Linked DNA regions of Rattus norvegicus. The protein of the gene in region 1 purifies or fractionates together with the protein of each later gene. This does not show direct contact. Links are inferred from orthologs where the notes say so. Each region holds a gene or a part of one and is shown in the gene's direction. Other genes may lie near its edges.

Evidence for each region.
Region 2: the proteins of Kras (region 1) and Hnrnpa1 purify together in Homo sapiens (affinity purification with mass spectrometry; 3 studies listed by BioGRID and IntAct, with this or other methods). This does not show direct contact. The link is inferred for Rattus norvegicus from reciprocal best matches to the Homo sapiens genes KRAS and HNRNPA1.

Annotation. Positions count from the first base shown.
Region 1 is NC_086022.1:179,929,015-179,932,847, reverse strand, and holds part of Kras (GTPase KRas), read left to right. Parts: exon of another isoform or gene 1-455; coding exon 456-615; exon of another isoform or gene 616-3,833. UniProt on the Homo sapiens protein: Ras proteins bind GDP/GTP and possess intrinsic GTPase activity. Plays an important role in the regulation of cell proliferation.
Region 2 is NC_086025.1:136,252,555-136,256,954, forward strand, and holds the start of Hnrnpa1 (heterogeneous nuclear ribonucleoprotein A1), read left to right. Parts: upstream 1-1,563; 5' UTR 1,564-1,604; coding exon 1,605-1,619; intron 1,620-1,663; exon of another isoform or gene 1,664-2,021; intron 2,022-2,161; coding exon 2,162-2,278; intron 2,279-2,534; coding exon 2,535-2,681; intron 2,682-2,852; coding exon 2,853-3,063; intron 3,064-3,149; coding exon 3,150-3,242; intron 3,243-3,329; coding exon 3,330-3,422; intron 3,423-3,569; coding exon 3,570-3,644; intron 3,645-3,847; coding exon 3,848-4,006; intron 4,007-4,400. UniProt on the Homo sapiens protein: Involved in the packaging of pre-mRNA into hnRNP particles, transport of poly(A) mRNA from the nucleus to the cytoplasm and modulation of splice site selection.

The DNA of each region.
Region 1 (3,833 bases):
GAAAACACAGTTTTTCCTTGAGGTAGGGTTTACTATGTAGCTTCGGCTTGCGAGGAACTCACTATCCAGACTGGACTGGAATTCACAGTGCTCCTTCTGCCTCTGCCTCCCTAATGCTGGGATTGAAGGCCTGAGCCACCATATCTGTTGGATGAAAATATTTTCAACTGTATACATACACATTTATGTATATATATCTTGTTTGTAAGATATTTTAAACATTTTGATTTGAAACTTTAGTATATTTCTTATTTTATATATGCATATGAACAAACAGATATGTAAGGTTTTTGTTTTAGAGGGAAAATAAGAGAAATGAGGACATTTTGGTAGGGTAGAAACTAGGATTCATATGAAGAAACGATTCAATACAGTTTTGTAAGATGAAGTTGAGGTCAAAGTTTGAAGTATTTTTGTGTTACTTATGCTTCTGCTTCCATTTGTTTCTTCCCCAGAGAACAAATTAAAAGAGTAAAGGACTCTGAAGATGTGCCTATGGTCCTAGTAGGGAATAAGTGTGACTTGCCTTCTAGAACAGTAGACACGAAACAGGCTCAGGAGTTAGCAAGGAGTTATGGGATTCCATTCATTGAGACCTCAGCGAAGACAAGACAGGTGAGTGCCACCGGAGAGATGTGCGTCTACTCTGCCGGGTGCTCCAAATGATGCTCACCACTGTTCTCCATTTCCAAATGGTGTCATTGGGGTCTACTTGCCACCATAACTATTGTTACATGTTCCTCATTTCATGTGATTCTCCAGTCTTTCTATTATTCTAACATAGAAAATAATGTTTATTTGGCAAATGTCTTCTCAAGTAGATAGTACTTCTTATCTAGGAACCACAATATTACTTTGGATCCCCCCACCCCCCATGTGTGCACAGGAGAGAGGGGGGTGTAGATAGATGGTAGGGGTTGCAATGGTCTCTGTACCCAGCCTGGGGTTGTACTCTCAGTCCCCTAAGTCTGTCTTGCAGGTGCTGGGATGACAGATGTCCTCCACTATGCCTGGTATTCCGTTTTCTTTTCATTTTGAAATTGTTTCTTCTGCCTAGAGTACATTTTACATTTAGGATTCAAGAAATGTGGAAATTTTTTCCCACTGAAATGATAAAGACAGAATGATGGAATAAAGTTTGACTTTCCTGTTTTAGAAGCAGTTTTTAGGATTTGTTGAGTTGTATTTGAAGAATTATTTTTTGGCGGAAAGTTTTTGAGGGTCTATTCTTCAGGGAGAAAGTTGTGATTAAAGTAAGGGAATATTTAGAAAGCAACTAGATATTCTTAAAAAGTGAGTTTCTGTAGTCTGACTGTCTGTGGGTATCTCCTGCGTGCCAGTTGGCTCACAGTTTACTTAGTTTCTAGAGACTTGGTGTGCATCACTCGGCTTCAGGGTAGGGAGCTATTTTATCCAAGTCCATCCCGCAGTCCAAAGGCACGAGAGGTTTGTTTCTATGTTCTATTTCCAAGTCTTCTTGATTTTATTTAGAAGCAGCCCAGAACATATAATTATAATATCTGTAACTTTTCCCTAAGTCCTCCTATGAAATAATTCAATGTAAGGAATTTTATTGAAAACATACTGTATAGATTTTACCATTAATACTTTACTCCTTCAATTGTTTAAACTTGCAAAGGCACCTTTCATACTAGTGAACATCAATCATAGTTGACATTTCATGGAGAAAAGGAAAAGCCCGAGACTGGGCTGGCTGTAAACACAGAAGAAAGGGCCTCTTGGACTAGAATATGCACACAAATCAGCTGACCTTATTAAAGTCAAAGTCCAGACATTGTGTTTGTGTTGAAGCCCATGTTGCGCATTCCTTTGCATTGTCGGGTGGTGCTGGTTGGAGAGTTGGGCCACAGTTTGAGTAGAAGCCATAGAGCACAGTGAAAGGAGTCTCTTGGCTTATCATCTCTGGGTTGCTCTCCACCTTTCATTTGGTAAGAGCCTTAAATAGCTCTTAAATAGCTTAAATTTAATTTATTATTTGTGTTTGACATTAATGCTTTGGTATACTGTAGTTCATTATTGATTTAGAACACTACCTCCTCTCCTTTTAAAATAGCTTTCTAGCTTTAACAGTGTTTTGTGGGGCTGGGGATTTAGCTCAGTGGTAGAGCGCTTACCTAGGAAGCGCAAGGCCCTGGGTTCGGTCCCCAGCTCCGAAAAAAAGAACCAAAAAAAAAACCAAAAAACCAAAAAAAACAGTGTTTTGTGACACACATACTACCAACACCTTTAAAAATTTAGAAATTTAAAAATTTGTTTTGCTTTGTTTATGTTTGGTTTTTGTGTTTTGACAGAGACAGCCCAGGCAAATCTCAGACTTACTATGTAGTAGAGGCTGGCCTTGAACTCTCGCCTCTACCTCCCATGTGTTGGGATTACAGGCATATGCCACCATGCCCAGTTCATTTTGTCAGGTTAAAGGCATACGGTATAGAAATAGATGAACTTAAATTTGGTTTTTAGATAGTGTAAGTTGTCTAACATGTATAGAGTTAAGATATACAGACACTTCTTAAGCCGTGCTTAGCCCTTCTTGTATTTATTCGTAATTTATGGATTTTTTTATACAATATATTGCCTAACTATAACTTGAATGCTCACTTTTCACTAGACTTGTTTTAGAAATTAATTTGCTTTGAAAAATCATTAATAGTTCTTAAAAATAATTTAATATTTTAAAGTTTTGGAAGATTTTAAAGAGCTACTCCAAATAATTTTGGTAATTTATAATATCCAAGGTACATTTTAATAAATTTTACCTTCAATTTTGGGGAAGATTTGGAGCTCCTTTTGGGGAGTATTTTGTTACTGTCTTTTATTTGCTTATTTGTGTGTGTGTGTGTGTGTGTGTGTGTGTGTGTGTGTGTGTGTGTGTGTATTTCATGTATGTGAGTACATTGTCGCTGTCTTCAGACACACCAGAAGAGGACATCAGATCCCAGATGGTTGTGAGCCACCATGTGGTTTCCGGGATTTGAACTCAGAACCTCTGCAAGAGCAGTCAGTGCTCTTAACCTCTGAGCCAACTCTCCAGCCCTGCTTATTTGTTATTTTAGCTACATATACCCGTCCTTAATGTATTTGTCTGCTTGAAATTTTGTTGTTTTTCCAGCCTAACAAAAGCACCACAGACTTGTATTTATGGTGGTAGGAACTGAACATTTCACTGAGAAGTTCTGTGATACAAGTCAGGGCATGGCAAGCATTTTCTACAGAGACCCAGAGAGCAAAGTGGTATCTTAAACATTATTTTCCCAAAAAAGCCTTGAAAATTAAAACTGCTTGTCAGCTAATACCAGAGCAGTTGACCCTGCCCGTATTTGGCCTTTAGGTTGTAGTGTGCTAGTCTCAACCTTTATAGAAGGCAACCGATGAGACTCCAGTAGATGCACAAGACCTTCGACCTACAACAGGCTGATTTTACCATTTTAAAGCTAAATTCATATATTTAATGAAAGAAGTTATATTCTATTTTTAAGATATAGGTTATAGAATACATATTTTTATCAGTACATTTTTGCTAATTTTAAATGCATATTACCTTGCCACTATATAATGATTAATAGAATGTGTGGGTGTGGGTGTGAGCATGTGTGTGTGAACACATGTGCACACCCACATGCTTTTTGCCCACTTTGAAACAGGGTCTTGCTGTGTTGCCCAGACTATTCTGGAGCTCATGTGCTCAAGTGGTCCTCCTTCCTCAGTCCCTGGACTCCAGATGTGTGGTACTGTACTGAGCTGAGCTGGTTTTTTTGTCCTTTAGTCCTTTCAGTGTGTTACTCCTTTAAAGGATAAAGGAGGTATTTTTTGCT
Region 2 (4,400 bases), on another chromosome or scaffold:
CTCAAACATACAGGCCTCGACCTGTTTCCATAGAAGCAACACGTTTTGACTTTTGACATACAGCTCACAAAAACTTTCATAGGGATACAAGTACAAATACAGCGGCCCTGGAAACGGGTGGTAGTGGTTAAGTCTATTTTTCTTGGATGTTTTTCATTAAAGTATTCATTTCACTGTAAAATTTTAATATTCTTCTTTCCAAAGAATAAAGGCACGTCCTCTAGAGTCTAAGTGAAGGGTGAAACTTTTTGTACCAAAAAGTACAAGAAAACATATGTTTTCCTTAAGGTAATATACGGAATGAATGCCTTAATTATAGGAGTCATTTTAGTTAAATGTTCGCCCCCACAAATGCAAGACTAAGCTTTATTTTTTGAGAGTAGTCTGTCCTACTGGCTCCAGGTTTGCTCTATATGAATTTAACCTACCGACTCCCGCGCTCCCCACTGGAGTCCAGCCTCTGCCTCTTGGGGAAGGCCGGCCTATGGCGCGCTTGGGGTTCATTGGCTCGGAGAGACGCAACTCAGGCAAGAAAAACCCGCCTCCCACATTCCGATGGCCCAAGGACCGGTTGGTAGGCAGCTATAGGAAGACCCAATTGGCCTATACACTCGCCAGTCAAACGCTTCGGCAACGCAGCTTCACCGAACCTGCAAGGATAAAACATCCCGCCCCAGTTGTCCTATTGGCTGGCCCGACCCGTCGCGGCCCCTTCACCGTCGTCTCCCCCCCCCCCCCAGTTCAGCGGTCCATTCATTTCGTACAATAACCGGTGCAATTGGAGCAGGTTCAAGATCTCGTACGGGTAGACAAGACTCTGCCACTTACCCGGGATCTAAAGTGATCACTCACACTAAGGCCTGCACGGTTCCTCTGTGGCAAAGCGGCACCACAAGCCACCGCTACCGCCGCCTTCTGCGCAATGCCAACCGCCCGCCAAAACGGATCCTTCCCTGCGCCTGCGCAACCAATCCCGGGCTTGGACCTTTTCTCCGCCCAAAACGCCTGCGCAAAACAGAACACAGGTCCCTCCACTACGCAGGCGCCTACGAACCTCGTATCCCTCTCCCGCCCGCCATTTCACGTGTTCCAGACAGCAGGCGGAACTTCGTACTGCGCCGGCGTAAACTCGCCATTTTTATTACACATGCGCTTTATAGCTGGGAAAAGTCGCGGCGAACTACTTTCTAACGTATCGTCCTTTGCCGAGTGAGTTTGTAACATTCGGGTGTGGGGAAGGTATAAAACACATTTAAAGACGTGAGTACATTCAAATATAAATTACTGGCTAGCTAGCCAATCAATGTGGTTAAGAATAAGATCCCTTGGGGCGTCAATGACTCAAAGGGGCGGGGACTGAGTAGAACGCCCAAACGGATGCCGTTTCTTAGCAGGGCGTTTTTACAGGCCAATGGTGGGAGGGAACAATTTCAAATCTCCAATAAGACTGAAGCAAGGGCGGAGTCTACCAATGCCGAAAGCGAGGAGGCGGGATAAAAGGGAGAGCAGAAGGTAGGCTGCCGGACACGTTCGCTATCTTATTCCTTTCTGCTCTTTGACGCTGGCGAGGAAGCATCGCTGAACGCTCTCATCATCCTACCGTCATGTCTAAGTCAGAGGTGAGTTGAGCGCGCTCTGCAGCTTCGCTTTCTTCCACACTTACTGAATATGACGGGATGTGACCTGTTTTGTCGCTGGCTCCCGTGCTTTCGGTGTTTGATCGATTACTGCTGAGGCCTACTTTAAAAAATGCAGGTCGCCATTTTGTCCTCATAGTCACCATGAGGCTGCGATCCGACAGCCATTAGTTTCTACGCACTGTTCCTTTTGGCAGAATTCTTACACTTAACGATCTGGGGTTTGTGGCCTTTTTTTCGTTTTTCCCTATCTGGTCTAATGATCTCTTGTTAAAGAGATACTAAGTCTTAATGGCGATGGACCAGACCAACCTGTGTCTTTTGTTGCGCCTGCGTATGAAGTAACAGGACGCATGCGCCGCGTGCAACTCGAGTCCCCAGTCAAGCCCAGGAAGGAGCACGTGGTCTTGTGCAGTAATAAAGAACAATAAAAAAGTGTGGCGTGTGTTGATGAATGGTGTTGATTCATTCGCCCAAGTTTCAGGCCCTCCACTAAGCCCCCTCTTTCCCCCACTTTATTTTAGTCCCCCAAGGAACCGGAACAGCTGCGGAAGCTCTTCATTGGAGGGCTGAGCTTCGAAACAACCGACGAGAGTCTGAGGAGCCATTTTGAGCAATGGGGAACACTCACCGACTGTGTGGTAAGATTTAAAAAAACAAAAGGAAGAGCTGCCTTATTTCTTCTGATTTAACCTTGACGCTTCTTAGCTAAATGTTTTGTGAAGTTAATTAATGGGATACTAAAAATCATCGTTGTGGAGCTTTGCTAACAAGATCTGTAAAAGAGCTTTTTATTTTCTGACTCTGGATGGAGTTTCATGTTTGCAGCGCTCTGACTAGGAATGACTTTTTGGCTTTGTGATCAGGCACTGTGTTGATTGAATTAACTCTAAACAGGTAATGAGAGATCCAAACACCAAAAGATCCAGAGGCTTTGGGTTTGTCACATATGCCACTGTGGAGGAAGTGGATGCTGCCATGAATGCAAGACCACACAAGGTGGATGGAAGAGTTGTGGAACCTAAGAGAGCTGTGTCAAGAGAAGTGAGTGGTTTTTCCTAATAGCTGGTTCTTTTTTAACCTGAGATTGTAATGGGGCAGATCTCAACTGGGAGATCCTCCCTCCTGAGTGAAATTAAAGGCATGTGCCACCACAGGTGTCAATCATTTAGGAATGTGCTGCTACTAAATAACTGGAGTCATTTTTCCTTTTAGGATTCTCAGAGACCAGGTGCCCACTTAACTGTGAAGAAGATCTTTGTTGGCGGTATTAAAGAAGACACTGAAGAACATCACCTACGAGATTATTTTGAGCAGTATGGGAAAATTGAAGTGATTGAAATTATGACTGACAGAGGCAGTGGAAAAAAGAGGGGATTTGCGTTTGTCACCTTTGATGACCATGACTCTGTGGATAAGATTGTTAGTAAGTATCAGAGGATTACATTTTCCTTTATGATTCTGGAGTTCACATGTTTTTTTAAAAGTCCTGAATTTAATTTTTCCTCTTAGTTCAGAAATACCATACTGTGAATGGCCACAACTGTGAAGTAAGAAAGGCTCTGTCGAAACAAGAGATGGCTAGTGCTTCATCCAGCCAGAGAGGTGTGTTTATTGCTTGGTTAGACTTGGGGTGAGGAGGACACTGTTAGTTATTACAGGTTAACCTAATGATCCAAAATTTCTTTTAAGGTCGAAGTGGTTCCGGAAACTTTGGTGGTGGTCGTGGAGGTGGTTTCGGTGGCAATGACAATTTTGGTCGAGGAGGGAACTTCAGTGGTCGTGGTGTGTATGGCTTTGTTTGGCTCCTTGTTGGTTTTAGAACTTATAACTAGTAATTGCTACCCTGTGTCCCCAGCACTTACAGGTTTTGATATTTGATAAGTATTCATTCACGTACAAAGCCTGGTTTAAAGCTTTGGTTTCTTCCAGGTGGCTTTGGTGGCAGCCGTGGTGGTGGTGGATATGGTGGCAGTGGGGATGGCTATAATGGATTTGGCAATGATGGTAAGTTTCTTAAGGAGTCTGTAAGGAGTGGTTTCTGGCGACCTCTACCTTTAGAATAGGCTACTAGAGACTAAACCTAGTGCATGACAAAGTTCAGTCAGCCCCGTAAAATGCATGCCCTGAGCAGCCTTTAGCTATTTAACTTGCGTAGATTTTTCTTGTTAAATACTTTTGTCTTATTGAGAAGACTTGTATTCTTGTAGGTGGTTATGGAGGAGGCGGCCCTGGTTACTCTGGAGGAAGCAGAGGCTATGGAAGTGGTGGACAGGGTTATGGAAACCAGGGCAGTGGCTATGGCGGGAGTGGCAGCTATGACAGCTATAACAACGGAGGAGGCGGAGGCGGCTTTGGCGGTGGTAGTGGTAGGTATCCAGTGACGCAGGTACTTGGTGCGGAGCTAGATGAGACTTCCAGGGTTTATGCCCGTCTCAGACTTCACGGCTGGCTCTTAGAGCATTGTAGGTACATTGCATGGTGCGTGCAAATAGGCTTGCTATGCTACCTCCTCCTGGCTTTAAGCTGGGGCCGCCTCCCCCAAAATGAGTAGGTGGATGAGTGGTTAGTGTCTTCCTTCCACATGAGGTAGTTAGAGACATAGCTGGATTGTCTACCTTCTGCTGGGACTTCAGGCATTTAGTTGATATATCCAAGAAATGTCTGTCTTGACCTAGAATATGTACACAAAGACCTTCGATTCTAACTTGCCACTGAGAGAAACTGTCATTAGTTAGGTTGATTTTCTTTAAATGTTGGATT